4 linked regions of the Saccharomyces cerevisiae S288C genome follow. The gene in region 4 interacts genetically with the main gene of each other region. Each region holds a gene or a part of one and is shown on either strand. Other genes may lie near its edges.

Evidence for each region.
Region 1: mutations in KAR9 (region 4) and RHO2 together harm fitness more than expected from each alone (negative genetic interaction), as found in Saccharomyces cerevisiae (3 studies listed by BioGRID, with this or other methods).
Region 2: mutations in KAR9 (region 4) and BUD14 together harm fitness more than expected from each alone (negative genetic interaction), as found in Saccharomyces cerevisiae (2 studies listed by BioGRID).
Region 3: mutations in KAR9 (region 4) and ABD1 together harm fitness more than expected from each alone (negative genetic interaction), as found in Saccharomyces cerevisiae (2 studies listed by BioGRID).

Annotation. Positions count from the first base shown.
Region 1 is NC_001146.8:454,095-458,964, reverse strand, and holds RHO2 (Rho family GTPase RHO2), read right to left. Parts: upstream 2,401-4,870; coding exon 1,822-2,400; downstream 1-1,821. Other genes in the region: TOP2 (DNA topoisomerase 2), read right to left, coding at 1-1,261; NST1 (Nst1p), read right to left, coding at 2,835-4,870.
Region 2 is NC_001133.9:165,282-171,752, reverse strand, and holds BUD14 (protein phosphatase regulator BUD14), read left to right. Parts: upstream 1-2,881; coding exon 2,882-5,011; downstream 5,012-6,471. Other genes in the region: serine/threonine protein kinase KIN3, read left to right, coding at 50-1,357; ADE1 (phosphoribosylaminoimidazolesuccinocarboxamide synthase), read right to left, coding at 1,458-2,378; YAR010C (gag protein), read left to right, coding at 5,887-6,471. UniProt on the Saccharomyces cerevisiae protein: Important for bud site selection. Seems to be a regulatory subunit of the BUD14-GLC7 type-I phosphatase complex. The BUD14-GLC7 complex is necessary to regulate microtubule dynamics at the cortex and may function as a specific activator of the dynein complex.
Region 3 is NC_001134.8:689,023-694,799, reverse strand, and holds ABD1 (mRNA (guanine-N7)-methyltransferase), read left to right. Parts: upstream 1-3,106; coding exon 3,107-4,417; downstream 4,418-5,777. Other genes in the region: DEAD-box RNA helicase PRP5, read right to left, coding at 282-2,831; VHC1 (Vhc1p), read right to left, coding at 4,537-5,777. UniProt on the Saccharomyces cerevisiae protein: Responsible for methylating the 5'-cap structure of mRNAs.
Region 4 is NC_001148.4:30,554-36,870, forward strand, and holds KAR9 (Kar9p), read left to right. Parts: upstream 1-2,459; coding exon 2,460-4,394; downstream 4,395-6,317. Other genes in the region: ATP-binding cassette permease MDL2, read left to right, coding at 1-2,250; PLC1 (phosphatidylinositol phospholipase C), read left to right, coding at 4,683-6,317. UniProt on the Saccharomyces cerevisiae protein: Involved in karyogamy. Component of a cortical adaptor complex that orients cytoplasmic microtubules. It may be involved in anchoring cytoplasmic microtubules to the cell cortex.

The sequences.
Region 1 (4,870 bases), on a different chromosome or scaffold from region 4:
TTTTCCTTGTACCATCAGACTTCTTTAGCGCATTTTCTTCATTTGCGTCGGCAATTTCAAACATTCTTGTAGCCAAATCAGTTTTCATAATCTTATTAATATATTCAAGAGGAATCTCACAACGGGACCCAAAATCTTTGACTCTTGTTGTCAGTTGCTCTTTTGTTTGTGAGGTAAATGCAGGATTCTCAATCAAACAATTAATGAAAATGAACATATTATTTTTAATCTGAAAAGACTTCACACTTTTTTTCTTCTTTTTCTTCAAAATTTCTGAAATTTTTTTTACAATTTGGTCTGTTATGTAATTGACATGGGTACCACCCATGGTAGTTGCAATGGAATTCACAAAAGAAATTTGTTGAAAAGAGATATCAGAAACCGCAAAAGCAACTTCCCATCTGTTGTTTATTCTCTCATAAAGAATAGTCGGGATATCAGACTTAGCGGCACCGTCCTCACCGTTATCTAGTTGTCTTTTTTTTTCGAGTGATTTCAAGTAGAGTTCAACATAATTTTTGAAATTTCTTATCTTTAAGGACTTGCCATTCAGATAGACATTAATGTCACGAACAGAACCATTGATATCATAAACTCTTCTTCGCATCACTCCTAAGATATCATTATCTAGCTCTTTCATTCCGAATCTGGTTAAATCCGGCTTAAATGTCACCTTTGTATATGATGGACCCTTCTTGTAAGATGTTATTTTTGGGGGGTGGCAAATGCTCATGTTATTTTCCCATTTTTGAACATATTTCTGGCCAACATTTAGATCTGCAGTTTCTAATATGAATTCAGTGGAAAATATATTACAAAGCTTAGCACCATAACCGTTTCTACCACCAGTGACTTTCTTCTCATCATCATCATAATTGGATGATGTCAACAAATGACCAAATATCATTTCAGGAATATAAATATTCTCCTTGTTATGAATCTCTATGGGAATACCTTTTCCATCATTTTTCACTTCTATAGTATGTTCCTCAGCATGTATGTTTACATCGATTCGTTTCATCGATGGATCACGAACTTTATTATCTGCCGCATTGACTAAGATTTCATCAAAGATTTTGAACAACCCTGGTACAATTGTGACATTTTTTTCAATCATGCAATCGGTCTCTTCATCGTATATCCATTGCAGCTGCTCTTGAGTTTCAACAGAACCGATATAAGTGTCTGGTCTTTTTAAGATATGTTCCAGTTGAGAAATTTTCTGATATTTATCAGAGGCGCTTACCGGTTCAGTTGACATGGTTAGCCGTGCTGGTCGTTATAAACTCCTTTAACTGAAACAGAAAGTTAAAATTGTCGTGGTTTGCTCTACGACGTGGTTGGATTATATGAAAGATGATCTCCTCTTTTCTTTTCTTTTTGTCTCCTTCGGCAATTCAATAATATGTTTACATTATACTGAAAAAAAAAAGACGCGTCCTACTGGCGCGTCTTTCACTCATCGCCTCGTAAGGAATTCGAATACAAATAGCGTAAATAAGTAAATAAGTATATAAACGAAAAATAATCAAACTAGGCAGTTCCGTTTAGCTCATCGGCGCAGTACCTTGAGCTATGGTTTGATGTGCCATTTTCTTATATCCGTCGGAAATTTTGCTTCTGGTAAAGGCTCTCGAATAAGAATCTGTAGGACATTAACGAACAAACATATCGAATGGGTTTGTGTTTTATACATGCACTATCGATAAGCCTTTTTAACTTATTCCATTATATCTATGAAATTTGATTAAAATTATAATACGGTATTGTTTTTCCCTCCCTTGCTAAAAAGATAATGTATCATTTCAGTGTAAGTTTTTTTTATAAAATTATGCAACAGTTAGCCCCTGGTTCCTTCTTCATAAGCAAACTGGTTCTTGTAGCTACTTCAAAGACATCATCCACACCCTCACCAGTCAGTGCACTACATTCCATGTATTTCTTGGCCCCAATGGCCCTTGCAACTTGTTTTGCATCTTCAATGGGAACCATTTCATCGGTAGCATTCTCTTTAAAATGGGCTTCTTGCCTCAAATCTTTTTTCAAGCCTACAAGAACGATTGGTGCGTCAGGACAATATCGTAATGCCTCATCCGCCCATTTCGTCCTTGCGTTAATTAGTGATTCAAAATTGTCTACAGCAAACCCAATTAATATTATATCTGCTTTTGAATATGAGAATGGACGTAAACGTTCATATTCCTCTTGTCCCGCTGTATCCCAGAGCGTTAAGGACACTTTTATTCCGTCAACTCTGCAATCAGTGACATAATTCTCGAACACTGTCGGATGATATTGTTCAGGGAATTTTCCTAATGTAAATACATATAGTAAAGAGGTCTTGCCACAAGCACCATCACCAATAATAACAAGTTTCCTTCTAACGGCCTTTTCAGACATAGTACGGGATCAAAAGCACAACCAAAGCAGAACGTTTCAGCAATTGATGTCTGCACACAAATCGTTTACAGCGGTATGCAAGGGCAGTTTAATTAAGACTTAATCTGGGGACTTTTGGTTCAAATTATCAGAATAACTACCTTTGGAGAGTTGCGCTTTGAATAATTGTTGTTGAACAATTGATATATGTTATACCTAAAAAAGAGTGTACCGAAGTCTATTATCATATTCACATTCCTGCGAAAAATGGAAATTAAATGCCGGGTAAGATGTATGGGGTGTCGCAGCCTCACCTCTAAAGCCACGACGGTAAGAAAAACCGACGCGTGGCTCACATCGAGTAGAGAGATGTACGATTGTTTAGTGTCTCTTCTGAAATTTCGTCGAATTATGTATGTATGTAAATATTTTTGGCCCTGCGTACCGGAGCAAATTTAAGACGTTTGCGTAGTTGAAGAGGCAATTGGAAAACTAGCCCTTGTGGAGGTATGAGGCCTTGACGTAAATGGTGTAGCAGTTGGATCGTTCAATCCACTAAAGAGTTGATTCAGCAACCCCTTTGAGTGGCCAGCGGGAGTTTGTCTCGCAAATCGAACGTGGGTAATGGATCCATTGTTATCAGTAAAGAATTCGCAATTGTAGGCTCCTTGCATGCTTATCAATTTGTTGATAAACGTCGAGTAATCCAAGTTAAGTCCTACTAAATTTTGGAATAGTGTCCCGATAGCAATGTAGGGGTTTAAACTATCTTGTGGGGAAATAGCTAAATAAGTATTGTAGATGCTATCCAGAATGTGGCTTTCATCCACTCCACTCGAAATTTGAGGGGATTGAAGGACGTTGCTAGTCAAATATGGTGAATTGTATTGACTGTTACTAGACCAGATATTTGATGCCATGAACGCAGGGCTATCTTGCGCAGTACTAGTTATATTGCGACCGGAAAGCTCGGATTTATTCATCATCGGAGTGGTGCTGCTGTCCCAGATAGAAGTTCGATTTGGAAACGATTCAACGCTTCCTAATGTAGGTGCGAGCAGCATACCGCTTTGTATACTGCTGTTGTTAAAGTTTCCTGCAGTCGACGGTCCCGAAAATGAGCTTTTTTGATCATTCCACACAGAACGCTGTGATGGGGGGAATCCTGATGATGAAAGTGATGTATCTGCGAACCCGGAAGAAGAAAGCATGCTAGTTAAAGTGTTCAACTCGTCGGTAAACGATTTACGGTGAGTACCACCATTAGGTAGTCCAAAAGATGGCATTGTAGCTTGAGGACTAGATTTATGGGCTTGTGATTCCATTTCTGAAGTTTGAATAACCGGTGGTTTACATGTAGGATTTATGGACATTGTATTTGTCAGACCACCCCAAGATGATAAACCAAAGTCATTTGGCAATAGCTTAGTTGGCGATGAATTATTATGCATCAATAGACTTGTATTTTCCAGAGTTTGTGAGTTCATTAAATAGTTGTTTTCAGTCTGTAAAGAAGATTTTGTAGCCAAGTCTAACGCATTCGGAATAGTTGTAGTTCCAAAATGGTTGTTTTGATTACCTGGCTGTGGCAAGTGTGATTGTTCCATAGCAGGCATCTGGTTGTTAGTTGAAGGAAGAAGTAGATCATGAACGTTAAAGCCTGTGGGTGAAACTGGTTTGGATGCAGCCACGCTATTAACCATTTTAAGTATTTCATCGTTGATACTGCAACTATTATCCTCTTGGTAGTTAGTCATGTTGGGATGTGATTGAGATGAAACAGGGTTGCCAACTCCATTCTCAGTAAAAGGTTTGGCGGAAAGTATGTTCGCAGATGTTTGTTCTTCGTTTAATTTCTGTTTTCTTAGCGCATCCTCTGCAATTAATCTTTGTCTCTCTTCTTCTTCTTTTTCTTTCTGTAGCTTTTCTTGTTCTAGCCTTTTCTGTTCTCTAATACGTTTCTTTTCTTCTTCCCTCTTGCGTTTTAGTTCCTCTTTCTGTTTCCGTTGTTTTTCTTGCATTTCTTCTCTCCGCTGCTGCTCTTCCAATCTACGCTTTCTCTCCTCGTCTTTCTTCCGTTTGGCTTCTTCAACCTTTTTCCTTTGAGCCTCTCGTCTTCTCATTTCACGCTCTTCTAATTCCTTCTTTAGCCTTTCTTTCTCTTCTTCCCTTTTTCGTTTTTCTTCCTCTTTAGCTAACTGTTGCAGCCTCTTCTTTTCTTTCTCTTTTTCTCTTTTTTTCTGCTTTTTTTCTTCCTTCTCTCTTTTCTTTCTTTTTTCTTCTTCTAGTTCTTGTAGAAGTTTTAGTCTGTTATTATCTGCCTGTTTCTCATGATAAGAAGCCATTATTCGACTTTGAAGCAACTTTGTAATGGCTATCTGAATCAATTTCCGACCTTCTTCTAAACGGTCAGTTTCATCAAGACCGCTGTCATAAGTATCTTCTTCGTCATCGCCTTCATTTTCATCCTCTTCCTCTGGCTCATCTTCAT
Region 2 (6,471 bases), on a different chromosome or scaffold from region 4:
ATTTCAATGAGAGTGCTATTTGATAATTGAATCAATTCTCTGTGTGAGTATGCATAGACGACAGTTTTTCCAAGAATACCGTAGTCCTCAGCAGCAGCAGGGACACCCACCAAGGTCAGAATACCAAGTTCTCGAAGAAATTGGGAGAGGTTCATTTGGGTCTGTACGAAAAGTCATCCATATACCTACCAAGAAACTTTTGGTTAGAAAGGATATCAAATATGGCCATATGAATAGCAAAGAGAGACAACAGCTGATCGCTGAATGTAGCATTCTATCGCAGTTGAAGCATGAAAATATTGTAGAATTTTATAACTGGGACTTCGATGAACAAAAAGAAGTGTTATACCTTTATATGGAATATTGTTCCAGGGGTGATTTATCCCAGATGATTAAGCACTACAAACAGGAGCATAAATATATACCAGAAAAAATTGTGTGGGGTATCCTGGCCCAATTATTGACTGCGCTCTATAAATGTCATTATGGTGTTGAATTGCCAACTTTGACCACAATATATGACCGGATGAAACCACCGGTAAAAGGCAAAAACATCGTTATCCATCGTGATCTGAAACCAGGAAATATATTCTTAAGCTATGATGATAGCGATTACAATATTAATGAACAAGTAGACGGTCACGAGGAAGTGAATAGTAATTATTACAGAGACCATAGAGTGAATTCAGGGAAAAGGGGGAGCCCTATGGACTATAGTCAAGTTGTGGTAAAGTTAGGTGATTTTGGGTTAGCCAAATCTCTGGAAACTAGTATTCAATTTGCCACAACATACGTCGGTACACCATATTACATGTCGCCTGAAGTGTTGATGGACCAACCATACTCCCCACTATCCGACATCTGGTCACTAGGTTGTGTTATTTTTGAGATGTGTTCGTTGCACCCCCCATTTCAGGCAAAAAATTATCTCGAGCTACAAACTAAGATTAAAAACGGGAAATGTGACACCGTCCCTGAGTATTACTCTAGAGGGCTTAATGCCATAATACATTCAATGATAGATGTGAACTTAAGAACCAGGCCTTCCACTTTTGAATTACTGCAAGATATTCAGATACGAACTGCAAGAAAGTCGTTGCAATTAGAGAGATTTGAAAGGAAGTTACTGGACTATGAAAATGAGCTGACAAACATTGAAAAAATCCTCGAGAAGCAAGCTATTGAATACGAAAGAGAACTGAGTCAGTTGAAGGAACAATTTACCCAGGCAGTGGAGGAGCGAGCCAGGGAAGTAATTAGCGGTAAGAAAGTTGGTAAGGTTCCAGAATCTATAAACGGATATTATGGTAAAAAATTTGCCAAACCTGCATACCACTGGCAAACAAGATATCGATAAAATTTGCTCTGAGAACATTTATACATTAATACATACGGGTATGTATGAATCATATTCAGTGAGGAGTTACACTGGCGACTTGTAGTATATGTAAATCACGTTAGTGAGACCATTTAGACCCTGTCAATGTTTCATAAGCCTCTATATATTTGGCCCTTGTCCTGTCGACAATGTCTTGGGGCATTTTGACGCCGTTAACACCGTTCAACTTATTAGCAGTAAGCCAGTCTCTTAAAAATTGCTTATCGTAAGAATCTTGGGATTCTCCTACCTTATAAGAGGCACCGTTCCAGAATCTAGAGGAGTCTGGCGTTAGCACCTCGTCCACTAGAATAATTTCATTGGTCTTTTCGTCAATACCGAATTCGAATTTAGTGTCTGCGATGATGATGCCCTTCTCCTTAGCATAATCTTTGCACTTGGAGTACAGTTTTACAGCCAGTTCTGCCACTCTACGTGACAAATCTTCACCCACCAGCTCAGCGGCCTGGGCAGGAGAGATGTTTTCGTCATGTTCACCTTGTTCAGCCTTGGTCGATGGGGTGAAGATTGGTTCTGGGAACTCTTGAGATTCTTTAAGTCCTTGAGGTTGTTTCAAACCATGCACAGTACCTGTTTTTACGTACTCTTTCCAAGCAGATCCGGTGATGTAGCCTCTGACAATTACTTCCAATGGAATTAGTTTATGTTTGTGAACCAATAGAGAGCGGTCTTCTAGTTGCGTTTTGTACTTTGGTTCGCTCAATTTTGCAGGTAGATAATCGAAAATAGTCTTACCTGGGGCGATGTCGACCAAATGATTACGAACATCGTTGGACAGGAACTTGAACCAGAACTCTGACAGTTTGGTCAATAGGATCCCCTTTTCAGGAATGCTGTTTTCCATAATAACGTCATATGCAGAGATACGATCCGTAGCAACAAACAGCAACGTACCAGCGTCTACCTCATATATGTCTCTAACTTTACCTCTGGCCACCAATGGCAATATACCGTCCAGTTCAGTCTTCGTAATTGACATTATCGTTAATATTTCGTATGTGTATTCTTTGTAAGCAATGCTTATGATTCGATTGTTCTTAATAGTACCAACTGCAAAAGATAAAACCCAACCGTCTTACCTCAAAGAATCTGGGTAAGAATATATAGAATGTATATATATATATATGTATGTCTATATGTATTAGATGGCATCTTCGAGATTAGTATTATTACATCCTCATCTCTCGCAAGAGTCAGACTGACTCGTGAATAAGCTTCGGGTGACCCTTATGGCATTCTTTTTCAACCTTCAGGAAAAGTTTCAGATGAGTTGAAATTTCGAGTATGGCTACATGGATCAAGTGCTGTAAACAAAGAAGCTTCTACAGGGGTACGCTGGTTGTGTTTTCTGCTTTGCTATCGTGTAGAACTGGATCCATTCTTTCCTGGCTGTGGTAGTACTTAAGGAGTTGGACGTGTTCAAGTCGAGAAAGAGGTGAAATACACGTAGTTTTTAGATAACATTCTCTGCTTGGTAAGAGAATGAGTAATAAGGAAGAGCATGTTGATGAGACTTCCGCAAGTGGTGTCAAGGAGGTTAGTTCTATAGCTGCTAGACATGACAATGGTTACGCGCCTTCGCTAATCACGTCGACGTCGGGCATGGACTCCTTTCAATCGCACGCGCTACTGAATGATCCAACCCTAATAGAGGATTATTCAGATATCATTAATAATAGGCCTACAAGTGGAAGTAAACTTACTTTAGGAAACGAGGATTCGGAGAGTATGGGCGGAAGTGTTGTGGTGACTCCGACTTCGAATAAGAGTTCGCCCTTCAATTCGAAACTTAATATACTGAGTAATGCGGCAGAAAAGGGCCATGATGTTCTGCGAAATAGAGATGATGACAAAGAGTTAGAGGAGGAGAACGTGGAAAAACATATGCATAGCAACAGTAAAAGGGATCAGCGACATTACAAAGAAAATTCTTCGGAATTGCCCGACTCATATGATTATTCGGATTCTGAATTTGAGGACAATTTGGAAAGAAGGCTACAAGAGATCGAAACTGATTCCGTGGATAGCGCCGATAAGGATGAGGTGCATTTTTCAGTGAATAATACAATGAACCCTGACGTTGACGATTTTAGTGATGGCTTGAAATACGCCATCTCGGAGGACGAGGATGAAGAGGAAAACTACTCTGATGACGATGACTTTGACAGAAAATTTCAAGATTCAGGGTTTCAAGGGGAGAAAGACGATTTGGAGGAGGAAAACGACGATTACCAACCCTTATCGCCGCCAAGAGAACTGGACCCTGATAAACTATATGCTTTATATGCGTTCAATGGCCATGATTCTTCACATTGTCAATTAGGGCAAGACGAACCTTGTATACTTTTGAATGACCAGGATGCCTATTGGTGGCTGGTTAAGAGGATCACTGATGGTAAAATCGGGTTTGCGCCAGCGGAAATTCTAGAAACCTTTCCAGAAAGACTAGCTCGATTGAATTGCTGGAAAAATGAAAACATGTCTTCTCAATCGGTTGCTTCCTCCGATTCGAAAGATGATTCCATCAGCTCTGGTAACAAGAATCAAAGTGATGCAGAGAGTATAATTCCGACACCTGCACTGAATGGATATGGTAAGGGGAACAAATCTGTTAGTTTCAATGATGTTGTCGGTTATGCAGACAGGTTTATAGATGATGCAATTGAAGATACCTCGTTAGATAGTAACGATGATGGCGGTGAAGGCAATGGACAGTCGTACGACGATGATGTTGATAACGACAAGGAAACAAAAGTAACGCACCGGGACGAATACACTGAAGCGAAGTTAAATTTTGGCAAATTCCAGGATGATGATACGAGCGATGTAGTGAGCGACGTCTCCTTTAGTACATCTTTGAATACACCACTAAATGTGAAAAAAGTTCGGAGACAAGACAACAAAAACGAAAGTGAGCCTAAGACATCATCGAGTAAAGACAGAGAAGATGATTATAATGCAAATCGGTATGTGGGGCAAGAAAAGTCTGAACCGGTTGACAGTGATTACGATACCGATCTGAAAAAAGTATTTGAAGCGCCTCGTATGCCATTTGCGAATGGTATGGCAAAATCAGACTCTCAAAATTCCCTTTCAACAATTGGCGAGTTTTCACCGTCGTCGTCAGAATGGACAAACGAATCACCATCCACTCCAATAGTTGAAGAAAGCAGCAGTATTCCATCATCTAGAGCAATAAAGGACATTTCACAATATATTCATGCAAAATCGAAAATTGAAGAGACAACAAACGTGGAAAACACAGAGGGGCAAATTCAAGCCAGCTTGGGGTCTAGTGGAGGAATGGCAAATCAAACTGACGCAGAACAACCTAAAGAGGAGCTAGAAAAACATCACAGTACCCCCGAAGAAGAAAAGCAATCAACCTTATCGTTACACTCATCATCTGAAGAAGATTTTTATATGGATGAACAAAGGGCGGTATCATCAGCAAGCATAAATAGTTCACTTTCCGGATCAAGGGCATTGTCTAATACCAATATGTCCGATCCGGCTTCGAAGCCCAATTCTTTGGTTCAACATCTCTATGCTCCAGTTTTTGACAGAATGGATGTGTTGATGAAACAATTGGATGAAATTATTCGTAAATGATATTGTCCTTACAATAAAGCCTGGTCTTTTTCTCATCCAACGAACTTGCATCATATTCATGAATATTTATTTGTTTTAGAAACATTTCGGAAAAAATAAGGTAGTAACAGTTCAGCATATATGATAGCTAAAACAAACAACTATATATCGTATCTACAAAGTTTATCTTACTTCTTCTATTTTTTAACTTTGCTTCAGATTATGATAATGAAAAGGAGGAATAAAATTCTGTCATTATTCAGCATCCTCCAATGTGTCATAGGGATATAACTGGGGTTGAGGAGGTAGTAGTCGACAACTACTTAGTCGTGATACAACAGTATGGATAGGTACTTTCCACGAACATTACTGATGACAGTCAGCTATTCACGAATTCAATTGTGTTGGATTAACAAAAAAATTTGGACGCAACCGGAATCGAACCGATGACCTCTTCCTTGCAAGGGAAGCGCGCTACCAACTGCGCCATGTGCCCAACTCATTACAATACTAGACTTATGAAGGAATGGTAAGTGCTTAGAAGCTTTATGATGTAGTAGAGATTTAAGGCCATCAATTACATTGTTGAAAATAAGAACCTGTTGGAATAGAAATCAACTATCATCTACTAACTAGTATTTACATTACTAGTATATTATCATATACGGTGTTAGAAGATGACGCAAATGATGAGAAATAGTCATCTAAATTAGTGGAAGCTGAAACGCAAGGATTGATAATGTAATAGGATCAATGAATATAAACATATAAAACGGAATGAGGAATAATCGTAATATTAGTATGTAGAAATATAGATTCCATTTTGAGGATTCCTATATCCTCGAGGAGAACTTCTAGTATATTCTGTATACCTAATATTATAGCCTTTATCAACAATGGAATCCCAACAATTATCTCAACATTCACCCATTTCTCATGGTAGCGCCTGTGCTTCGGTTACTTCTAAGGAAGTCCACACAAATCAAGATCCGTTAGACGTTTCAGCTTCCAAAACAGAAGAATGTGAGAAGGCTTCCACTAAGGCTAACTCTCAACAGACAACAACACCTGCTTCATCAGCTGTTCCAGAGAACCCCCATCATGCCTCTCCTCAAACTGCTCAGTCACATTCACCACAGAATGGGCCGTACCCACAGCAGTGCATGATGACCCAAAACCAAGCCAATCCATCTGGTTGGTCATTTTACGGACACCCATCTATGATTCCGTATACACCTTATCAAATGTCGCCTATGTACTTTCCACCTGGGCCACAATCACAGTTTCCGCAGTATCCATCATCAGTTGGAACGCCTCTGAGCACTCCATCACCTGAGTCAGGTAATACATTTACTGATTCATCCTCAGCGGACTCTGATATGACATCCACTAAAAAATATGTCAGACCACCACCAATGTTAACCTCACCTAATGACTTTCCAAATTGGGTTAAAACATACATCAAATTTTTACAAAACTCG
Region 3 (5,777 bases), on a different chromosome or scaffold from region 4:
TTTCCCCTCTTAATTTTTTTTTAAAGCATTTACCTTTCATTATATCCTATGAATTCTCATTGTTTCTTTCCCACTTTTTTAAATTCCATTTTATTCGAATCGATAAAAATTTCAAGATTTTTTTCTACATCATATATTATATATTATTTTGTTTTTATTTTTCCTAATAATTCTCTTTTTTTTTTTTTATTATGATTGAATATGCTTTAAATTACCACCCTAAAAATTTCAGAACTAACTACGAAAGTATATAGCACCACGAGTGAGTTAAATTCTAAAAACTAGTATTTAGTACTCTTCAAAGACAAGCTTGCAGCCTTTACGACCCCCTCTTTAACTTTTTGCTCCAGCAATTCTATACTTAATTGTATGTCTTTCTCATCTTGGCCTTCGATCAATAAGTATAGTTTAGGCTCATCGTTTTCATTCTTTGGTTCCTTCCCTTCAGGGTAAAATTTACCCTTGTTAGTAATACTACATCCGGTTTCATGCTTGATAAATAATAAGGTTGTATTCTTTGTAGCCTCCCATCTTACAATCTGGGGTAAATCATTAATATAAACCTTGGCGTAAAAGATGATCGACCCGTCTGTAGACTCTTTGAATAGTTCATAATTGAGTCTCGGAATAAGCGCAGAAGACTCAGACACACTGTCATGCCCTTCGCGTGGATTGCTGATTTTCTTTTCCAAGTCATCGCTCCTCTTATCATTCTTTTTGAGCTCCAAATCTTTATTTTGAGCTTCCTCTCTTTTACTTTTGATATTTTCCAGTCCTTTGCCGCCGAACCCTTTCGACAACCTAAACTTACCCTTTTTCATACCGGATTCAAACTTGGCACTCATTTCCTGAAGTTCTTTTGCTTGCAGAGGGTCTAAAGCTTTTATTTCTTCATCGCGCATTGCCTTGCTCAAGATATAAGCACCTGACAGTTCATCATGCAATAGAAGAGTAATAGCAGTACCGGAGCGACTACCTCTGGCAGTTCTTCCAGTAGTATGAACATATTGCGCGAAAGTTTTGACGGCGTTATAGATAATAACCAACGACACTTCGGGAACATTTAAACCTCTTGAGAGAACCTCTGTACAGAGAAGAATACTGTTCTTTTCTCGTTTGAACTTTTCTAAGTTCATAAGCCTTTCTTGATATGGCTTACCTGCATGAATAGCACAGGTCACAATTCCAGCATTTAACAGCTTTTTTGAAATGAAGTCGCAAATATTCTGACTTGATACAAATATAATGGCTTTAGCATCAACTTCTTCAACATCGCTTGACTGTCCGTCATTTTCACTTTGAACCTCGTCAAAAAATTCACTGCGCTCATGGATAAGCTGCACCAGATTGTCAAATTTTTCATCTTCTGAATGGCATATTCTAAACTTTTGTTTTACGTTTTCATTAACCATTCCCTTTGAATTAATCGTAATAGATATTGGGGAATGCAAAACTCTTACGGCAAAACTGCGTAGTTTGTTCGGAAAAGTTGCACTAAATAGAACACACTGTTTATCCGGTCGAACAGTTTTCATGATTTGCGTTATTTGAGGTTCAAAACCTAAATCGAACAGCCTGTCTGCCTCATCCATTACTACGAACGTTATTCTTTTAGTACTAAGTAATTTCCCATCATTTAGTGTTAATATATCAATAAATCGTCCCGGTGTGGCAACAACAATCTCAGTGCCTCTTTTAAGATCAGTAATCTGCTTTTTCATTTCAGAACCTCCTGTACAGCATACTGATCTAATGGATGTATCTGCTTCTGTGAATTTAGTAACTTCTTCATGTATTTGTAAAGCTAGCTCTCTAGTTGGAGCCAGAATTAAACCCATGGGCCCTGTTTCATGTTTTGATAATGGCCGTTGAGCTTTTACTTGTCTTAGCAATGGTAAAAGATAGGAGATGGTCTTGCCGGAGCCAGTTTTTGATATTCCTATAACATCACGACCTGACATAATAGCGGGAAGAGCCTGGGATTGAATAGGCGTTAAGGAGCCAAAGTGCAACTTTTCTGTAATTAAAACCATGGTGTCCGTTGATAGTCCCAGTTGAGACCACTTTGTGACTGGTTTGGGGCAACCTGTTCCCTTTATTTTGATATTATCCAGACTAAGTCTAAGCTCCTCAACTTCCATCTCTGACATCGAGGAAACTGTTTCAGATTCTATATAAAAATTTTTTTGGAACGGCTCAAGCTCTTCTGGAGAGTAATAAATTTGCTTTACACGTTTTTTTGCTTTGAGTTTAGCAATTTTCGCTATATTAGAATTATCCGTATTATCTTCAACATCCTCATCGTCGGTTCCTCCAAGTTCAAACAATTGATCCTCTACATCAAGAATGTCGCCTCTGTCGTACATGCCTTTACTATTACTCATTTTCTCCTCCTTCAATGACGTCATAAACTCATCCAGTGGATCTTTTTCATTATCATGCTCTGGAGCTTTTTGAATGTGCTCCTTCGATCTAAAAGAAACTCCTATTTCAGAATCATCGTCATCACTGAAGTCGAAGGATATTTTCTTCTTTACCTTACTTCTCTTCGACTTTTTCTTCGAAGGCTTAACCGATACAGGTTCGTCAGATTTCCTAAATTCATTTTTTCTCTTCCGAAGCTCTTCTTTTACACGTTCCTGTCTTTCCGTAAACTTTTCAGTAGTCTGCTTACCTTCTAAACTGTTAGTAACAATGTCATTGCGTGAAGTTTGATGCTCTTTCTGAGCATCAAATTGTGCTTTTTTTTGTTTCCATTTTGCTAGTTTTTTCCTCCTTTCCTCCAATAAAGACTCCCTATTAATATTTTGCTTCGAATCAATAGTTTCCATACCTCAAATAAACCCAAGGCAACAGCGTTATGATTTCCCTTCTCGAATTATTTGGCGCTGTATTATATTAGAAAGAACTCTAATACCTTTAGTTTGGTCCATTGCTCTAAATGACTTTAATTAGTTTCATCTAATCCGGGTAATGGTAAATCAAGATATTTCAACATAAATTAGAAGATTTCTTATTTTAATCCTTTACATGTGAGACACTTTTCCGATTAATGTGACAACTACTACAACGTGGAGTCGTCCATTATCCGTCTTAGAAAAGTAGAATGTCAACCAAACCAGAGAAGCCAATATGGATGTCACAAGAAGACTATGACCGTCAGTACGGCTCAATTACTGGTGATGAATCGTCCACAGTCTCAAAAAAAGACTCCAAAGTTACTGCCAATGCGCCTGGTGATGGTAATGGATCATTACCAGTTTTGCAAAGCAGCTCTATCCTTACTTCTAAGGTGTCTGATCTACCCATTGAGGCAGAATCCGGGTTTAAAATCCAAAAGAGAAGACATGAAAGGTATGATCAAGAGGAAAGATTACGCAAACAGCGTGCTCAAAAATTGAGAGAAGAGCAACTAAAGAGACATGAAATAGAGATGACTGCAAATAGATCCATAAATGTTGACCAGATTGTCCGAGAGCACTATAATGAACGTACAATAATCGCCAATCGCGCTAAGAGGAATCTATCGCCTATTATTAAGCTTCGTAATTTTAACAATGCGATTAAGTATATGTTAATTGACAAATATACAAAACCTGGAGATGTCGTTTTAGAACTCGGATGTGGCAAAGGTGGTGATTTAAGAAAATATGGTGCTGCAGGTATTTCACAGTTTATTGGTATTGACATTTCCAATGCCTCTATCCAAGAAGCTCATAAGAGATACCGGTCCATGAGAAATTTGGACTACCAAGTTGTGCTAATTACTGGGGATTGCTTTGGCGAATCATTAGGTGTTGCAGTAGAGCCCTTCCCAGACTGTAGATTTCCGTGTGATATCGTTTCGACGCAATTTTGCTTGCATTATGCTTTTGAGACCGAAGAAAAAGCAAGGAGAGCTTTACTGAATGTCGCCAAATCACTCAAAATTGGTGGTCACTTTTTTGGCACGATACCAGATTCAGAATTCATTCGTTATAAACTGAATAAATTTCCCAAAGAAGTGGAAAAGCCATCTTGGGGAAACTCCATTTATAAAGTGACATTTGAGAATAATTCATACCAAAAGAATGATTATGAGTTCACATCGCCTTATGGTCAAATGTATACTTATTGGCTAGAAGATGCTATAGATAATGTTCCTGAATATGTTGTGCCATTCGAAACCTTAAGAAGTTTGGCTGATGAATACGGTTTGGAACTAGTATCGCAAATGCCTTTTAATAAATTTTTTGTCCAAGAAATTCCCAAATGGATTGAGAGGTTTTCGCCTAAAATGAGGGAAGGTTTACAAAGATCTGATGGTAGATATGGTGTTGAAGGGGATGAAAAGGAAGCGGCATCATATTTCTATACCATGTTTGCATTCCGTAAGGTAAAACAGTATATCGAACCGGAAAGCGTAAAGCCCAACTGAAATAAAAATGAATAGAAACAATAACCCTACTATAAAGCATCTGTATTTCGGCCGTATTACAAGACTTCTATATGTAGTAAATAAGTTCTGGGGAAATGCATAACGATATATGTGTTATTCTATAATGCAGTAGTTACTGTCATGGTTTGCGAATTGATTAACATGCATGGAGGTAAGCCCTCCAACCAAATATCCAAGTCCTCGACATATTGTAAACTTGCATCGTGATCTTCATGTGTTCCAAGAGCTGGAACTGGCAAGGTTGAAAAAATTAAATCCGAACTCTTTGACATTTGTGTCATCACATCATTCAGAACCAAATGTTGAGCAGTGCTGGGAAGATCATTGAAACCTAAATTTTGCATCGCTGTGACTAAACTATCTTTTGAACAACAAGGTGATAATTCGGGAAGAACCGGTTTCTTTAATTTGTTGCCGTTGCCAATACCGCTCCCAGTACCGTTCCCATTCGAAAGGTCAGGTTCGGCAATTGGGATCAGTGTCGGCTGTTCACCCGTGCCATCTTCCACGACTCTCGTCCTCGGCAAAGTATTACTCGAGAAAACGGGTCTTAACGACTGTGTTGACACATCGCTTTGTAAATTCTTTACGAGTAAATTTGTTCTGTCGGAACCGGTCTTCGATTTGGTCGTTAAGTCCTTACCTACTGAAATATTAGTCGATGCCGAGAAGGCATCACGAATTGACGTAAGATCTGTATCCAAATCGGAGTCCTCACTCTCGCATGGGGTATCAATGCGGTTAGTTGGCATTCTCGTATTCATTGTAAATGAGACACCCAATTTCTGAACCCCAGACGTATATTTTCTTGATTGTGTAAATTGCTTTGCTATCGTTTGAGGTTCAATAGTGGAAAACCTCCGCTTCGGTTTTAATGTATCACGAGCTTCAACCAAATCTTTCCACCATTCATTATCGGCCAATTTCGAGTTGACATAATCAAACACGATTGGGTCTCCCTTGACAATTGTGTTGTATACTCTGAATTGATCTAAAGATACTACCAAAACCTCTGCGTCAATTCTTAGAACCTGTAATAGCTTTTTCATTCGTTGAGTTTCGTTCGTTCTATGATATTCTTGTTCCACAAATAAAATAACTCGAAGCGAATGTGTGCGCTTCCATTCAGGAACAGTAACCAAAATGGCAGCTAATTGTAGAATCAGTGTATACGTATCAAAGTTAGTAGTGATAGCCGCAGGCTGGTCACCCTTTGCCTCAACTTTTCCGCACATTTGGATGGGATAAAGATCTATAGTTTTTTTTGGAAAGCAGCTGTCCCTTTTGTTCGGTATCTCTAAATTTTTGAATCCATGCGCTATGGCAATATTGGATTGCA
Region 4 (6,317 bases):
AAACTGCCATCTATAAGGTTTCGGTCTTTGGTCACCCCTTCTTCATCGCAGCTCATTCCTCTCAGTCGGTTGTGTTTAAGGTCACCTGCAGTTGGAAAATCACTAATTTTACAAAGTTTTAGATGTAATTCATCCAAAACAGTTCCAGAAACTTCTCTGCCTTCAGCCTCTCCCATATCTAAAGGATCAGCAAGGTCGGCACATGCAAAGGAGCAATCTAAAACTGATGACTATAAAGATATAATAAGGTTATTTATGTTGGCGAAACGGGATTGGAAACTGCTTCTTACAGCCATACTTCTTTTAACCATATCATGTTCCATAGGCATGTCTATTCCTAAAGTCATAGGTATTGTCCTTGACACACTTAAGACGTCATCTGGATCAGATTTTTTTGATTTGAAGATACCGATTTTTTCTTTGCCTTTATATGAGTTTCTTTCCTTTTTTACTGTTGCTTTACTGATTGGTTGTGCTGCTAATTTTGGTAGATTTATATTATTGAGGATACTAAGTGAGCGTGTTGTTGCACGCCTAAGGGCAAATGTCATTAAAAAAACGCTTCATCAAGACGCAGAATTCTTCGACAACCATAAAGTTGGGGATTTAATTTCTCGTTTAGGATCTGATGCTTATGTTGTTTCAAGATCAATGACCCAGAAGGTCTCGGATGGGGTCAAAGCCCTAATTTGTGGGGTTGTTGGCGTGGGGATGATGTGTTCTTTGTCACCTCAACTATCAATATTGTTACTATTCTTCACTCCACCTGTTCTTTTTAGTGCCTCAGTGTTCGGGAAGCAAATTAGAAACACCTCTAAAGACCTTCAAGAAGCTACTGGTCAATTGACTAGAGTCGCTGAAGAACAACTCTCTGGTATCAAGACGGTTCAGTCGTTTGTTGCTGAAGGTAATGAATTGTCTAGGTATAACGTTGCAATTAGAGATATTTTTCAGGTGGGAAAAACTGCGGCATTTACAAACGCAAAGTTTTTTACTACAACTAGTCTCTTAGGTGACCTAAGTTTTTTAACCGTCCTTGCGTATGGCTCCTATCTTGTTTTACAATCACAGCTCTCCATTGGTGATCTGACTGCATTTATGCTGTACACAGAATATACGGGGAATGCGGTATTCGGCCTTTCTACCTTCTATTCGGAAATTATGCAGGGTGCTGGGGCCGCTTCCAGGTTGTTTGAATTAACAGATAGGAAACCTTCCATTTCACCGACTGTGGGACACAAGTATAAACCAGATCGTGGTGTTATCGAATTTAAAGATGTTTCATTTAGCTACCCTACAAGGCCTTCTGTTCAAATATTCAAGAATTTAAATTTTAAAATTGCGCCAGGATCGAGTGTTTGTATTGTGGGCCCTTCAGGTCGTGGTAAATCTACAATTGCACTCTTACTGCTAAGATATTATAATCCCACTACTGGGACTATTACGATAGATAACCAAGATATCTCTAAATTGAATTGTAAATCCCTAAGAAGGCATATTGGTATCGTTCAGCAAGAGCCGGTACTGATGTCAGGTACTATTAGGGATAATATCACTTATGGGTTGACATATACCCCAACAAAGGAAGAAATCAGGTCAGTAGCAAAGCAGTGCTTTTGCCATAACTTTATCACAAAATTTCCGAACACATACGATACGGTAATTGGTCCTCACGGCACCTTACTAAGTGGAGGACAAAAGCAGCGTATTGCGATTGCAAGGGCTCTAATCAAAAAGCCAACTATTTTGATTCTTGATGAAGCTACATCAGCTTTAGATGTTGAAAGTGAAGGAGCCATTAACTATACGTTTGGTCAACTAATGAAATCAAAATCGATGACTATTGTTAGCATCGCGCACAGGCTAAGTACGATCAGAAGATCAGAGAATGTTATTGTCCTTGGCCATGATGGATCAGTGGTAGAAATGGGCAAATTCAAAGAATTGTATGCGAATCCAACAAGTGCTTTATCGCAATTACTTAATGAGAAAGCGGCTCCTGGGCCATCTGACCAACAACTGCAAATAGAGAAGGTCATCGAAAAGGAAGATTTGAATGAGAGTAAGGAGCATGATGACCAGAAAAAGGACGATAATGACGATAATGATAATAATCATGATAACGACAGCAATAACCAGTCTCCAGAGACGAAAGACAATAATTCAGATGATATTGAAAAATCTGTCGAACATCTCCTGAAAGACGCGGCAAAGGAGGCTAATCCAATTAAGATCACACCACAACCGTGAGTCATCCGCATCGCATATACCCATTCTTATCTCGCACATTTAAATATATACTATATATAATACTGTTAAATGCCAAATAAAAAGGATTTTCATTACCCGAATCGATACTTTTGGTAGCATAAACAAATAACATTGAAACAATAACAAAGTGTAATGTGGCCGCACGAATCTTTGTCTGTAACAGCCTTAAAGATTTCAGTAGCACTGCCATGGATAATGATGGACCCAGATCTATGACCATTGGGGATGACTTCCAAGAGAACTTTTGTGAACGTTTAGAAAGAATTCACAATACATTACATTCAATAAACGATTGCAACTCATTGAATGAGAGTACCACAAGTATATCAGAGACATTGTTAGTTCAATTTTATGATGATTTGGAGAACGTTGCCTCGGTAATTCCCGACTTAGTCAACAAGAAAAGACTGGGAAAAGACGATATTTTGTTGTTTATGGACTGGTTATTATTGAAAAAATATATGCTATATCAATTTATTAGTGACGTTCATAATATTGAGGAAGGTTTTGCTCATTTGTTGGATTTACTAGAGGATGAATTCTCGAAGGACGATCAGGATAGCGACAAATACAATCGATTTAGCCCGATGTTTGACGTCATAGAAGAATCTACACAAATTAAGACTCAGTTGGAGCCATGGCTTACTAACTTGAAGGAATTATTGGATACGTCATTGGAATTTAACGAAATTTCAAAGGATCATATGGATACATTACATAAAATCATTAATAGCAATATATCGTATTGTCTGGAAATTCAGGAAGAAAGGTTCGCGTCCCCGATACGGCATACTCCATCATTTACCCTAGAACAACTAGTCAAGTTATTAGGAACGCATACGGAGACAACTGAGCCAAAGGTACCAAAATTTTCTCCGGCAGAAGATATTTTATCAAGAAAGTTCTTGAACCTAAAAAAAAATATCCCTCCAATTGAAAAAAGTTTGACTGATATCCTACCTCAAAGAATTGTGCAATTTGGGCACCGGAATATAACAAACATAACTACTTTGCAAACAATCTTGCAAAAAAAATACGAGCTGATAATGAAAGATTATAGATTTATGAATTCAGAGTTTAGGGAATTGAAAGTCGAACTAATCGACAAACGTTGGAATATACTCTTTATTAATTTAAATCATGAACTATTATACATTCTTGATGAGATAGAAAGGTTGCAGTCGAAATTACTGACAACAAAGTATACCAAAGATATCACTATAAGGCTCGAGAGGCAATTGGAGAGAAAATCAAAAACTGTTTCTAAGACATTCAATATTATTTACAGAGCATTGGAATTCTCACTTTTGGACGCTGGCGTCGCATCGAAGACAAATGAATTAGCTCAAAGATGGCTGAATATCAAGCCTACAGCGGATAAAATTCTAATCAAATCCTCCGCTTCAAACAAAATAGCTACTAGCAAGAAGAAGATTCCAAAACCGAAATCATTAGGCTTTGGGCGACCGAATAGTGTTATTGGAACTATAACCCAGGATTTCCAGGAGAGAGTCGCCATTAATGAAGGTGACAGTAATAAAACACCGGAAAATTCAACTACAGTGGCTTTGAAAGGTAAAAAGCTTGGTAAAGCGTTACTGCAGAAGATGAATATTAAACCTGCAACAAGCCCAAATTCATCAAATGCGATTAATCCATTTTTTGATCCGGAGTCGCCAAACAAAGGAAAACTGATACTAAGTAGTGTTCCTCCCTTACCTTATGACGAAACCGATGAAACCACCCTCCGTGTTTCTCGTGGGGAAAATGAAAAGTCACCAGACTCCTTCATTACATCTCGGCATGAAAATAAAGTACAGATTACAGAAACTCCTTTGATGGCAAAGAATAAGTCTGTGCTTGACATCGAAAAAGATAAATGGAATCATTACCGGTCCTTGCCCTCTAGGATCCCTATATACAAGGATAAAGTGGTGAAAGTCACCGTAGAAAACACACCGATAGCAAAGGTTTTCCAGACTCCGCCAACAAAAATCACGACACCTAATAGTCAAGTTTGGGTCCCTTCGACAAGAAGAAGAACCCGATTGAGGCCTCCCACCCCCTTATCACAGTTACTTTCACCAAGAGAAGGGCGTTTAGATAAAACCCCAACTTATTGATACTAACCTAAAACTGTATACTTATACATTTTTATATATCCTCCCTCTCACCCTCTCCATTCATAGAATTTGTAATACTAGTTTAAATAATGTAATATTATGTGTAATTTTAAATAGTCCATGAAGATTCCGCACGTTTTCATTTTACAGTTTTTGACACCTTTACCCGACGCTTTATAAAAAAAATAGTATAAGCATCACGACATAAGCAGCCTCAGGTCATTAAAACAATAAAAGACTGGGAATTATAAACGTACAACGGTAAGGTCATTCACGCAGTGTATATGAATGACTGAAAGTGCTATAGATGACCAAAGGTTTAATCTTACAAAGGAGTTACAACGACACTCATGCAGAGATCAAGGGAAAATAACACAAAAGGATGATGCTTTAGATTTTATAAGTTACAGTTCTTTTCAATCCTCTTTTAATACTGACCAAAAAAGCGCGAACAATGGAAGTACTGTGAGAAGAAGCATAAGGTCGATTTTTAGAAGAGCAGCCGAATTGCCTAGAGTCCATATGGGGCCTCTTACTTATTCACATGGGATAAATGAGCTTGTTAACAAGAAATTAAGAAAAGACTGTGATCTCAGCACGCTATGTCGCGTATTGCAAAGAGGAATCAGGATGATTAGGATGACAAGAAGAAGAAGGAAGTTCTATGAATTTAAATTAATCAATAACAACGGGCAAATAATATGGAAAGATGGTTCGAAGTATCTGGAATTAGACTCCGTTAAAGACATCAGAATCGGTGATACGGCGAGTACTTATCAAGAGGAAGTAGATCCGAAAAGATTGAGATCGGACAGTAAACTTTGGATTGCTATTATTTATAAGGTTTCCAACAAATTGAAAGCGTTACACGTAGTTGCTTTGAATGAATTGGACTTTAACACATTCTTAAGCTGCATTTGCGGTTTAGTGAAGTTAAGGAGGGAATTAATGGAAAGCATACTTTTGCCTGATAATTCGCAATTCGCTAGGATACATTGGCAAATTACTGTTTCTGAAAAAGAGGAAGATGAGAAAAAGGACACATTGAGCTTTGCAGATGTGAAGAAACTATGTGATAAATTTCATATTTATGTGTCAACTGGTCAATTGTTAGAGTTTTTCCAATTAGCAGACATCAATCATAACGGACTATTAAATTATTTTGAATTTGAAAAGTTCATTAAAATCTTAAAGAATAGGAAAGAGGTAAATATGATTTGGTCTAAATTTACAAAACCTCCACACTCCCACTTATCATTTGAAAATTTTTTTCAATTTTTAATTACAGAGCAGCATGAGCAAGTGGATCGTCAAACTGCATGGTCATATTTTATTAAGTACAGAGAACCGACTCAGCTGACGATGGGGCAAGATGGTTTTACCAAGTTCTTGAAGGAGCAACCATATTTGGTGGAGGTTAAAGAGGAGTTATATTCAAAGCCATTAAACCATTATTTTATTGCATCTTCACATAATACTTATTTATTGGGGAAACAAATTGCAGAAACTCCATCTGTGGAGGGATATATTCAAGTCCTACAACAAGGTTGTAGGTGCGTAGAAATTGATATATGGGATGGTGAAAATGGGCCAGTGGTATGCCATGGATTTTTAACGTCAGCTATTCCCTTAAAAACAGTTATACGCGTGATAAAGAAGTACGCTTTTATAACGTCTCCGTATCCTTTGATTATTTCACTGGAAATAAACTGTAACAAGGATAATCAAAAATTGGCAAGCCTGATAATGAGAGAGGTTTTAGCAGAACAGCTGTACTTTGTTGGCACAAGAACTGATAAACTGCCATCACCAAGGGAATTAAAACATAAAATACTGTTGAAATCCAAGAAGACGAGTGAAGCAACTAGAGGTCTTAGCGTTAATGAGCCATTTCCATCTTCTTTTAGTTCTTCTTACGAATCA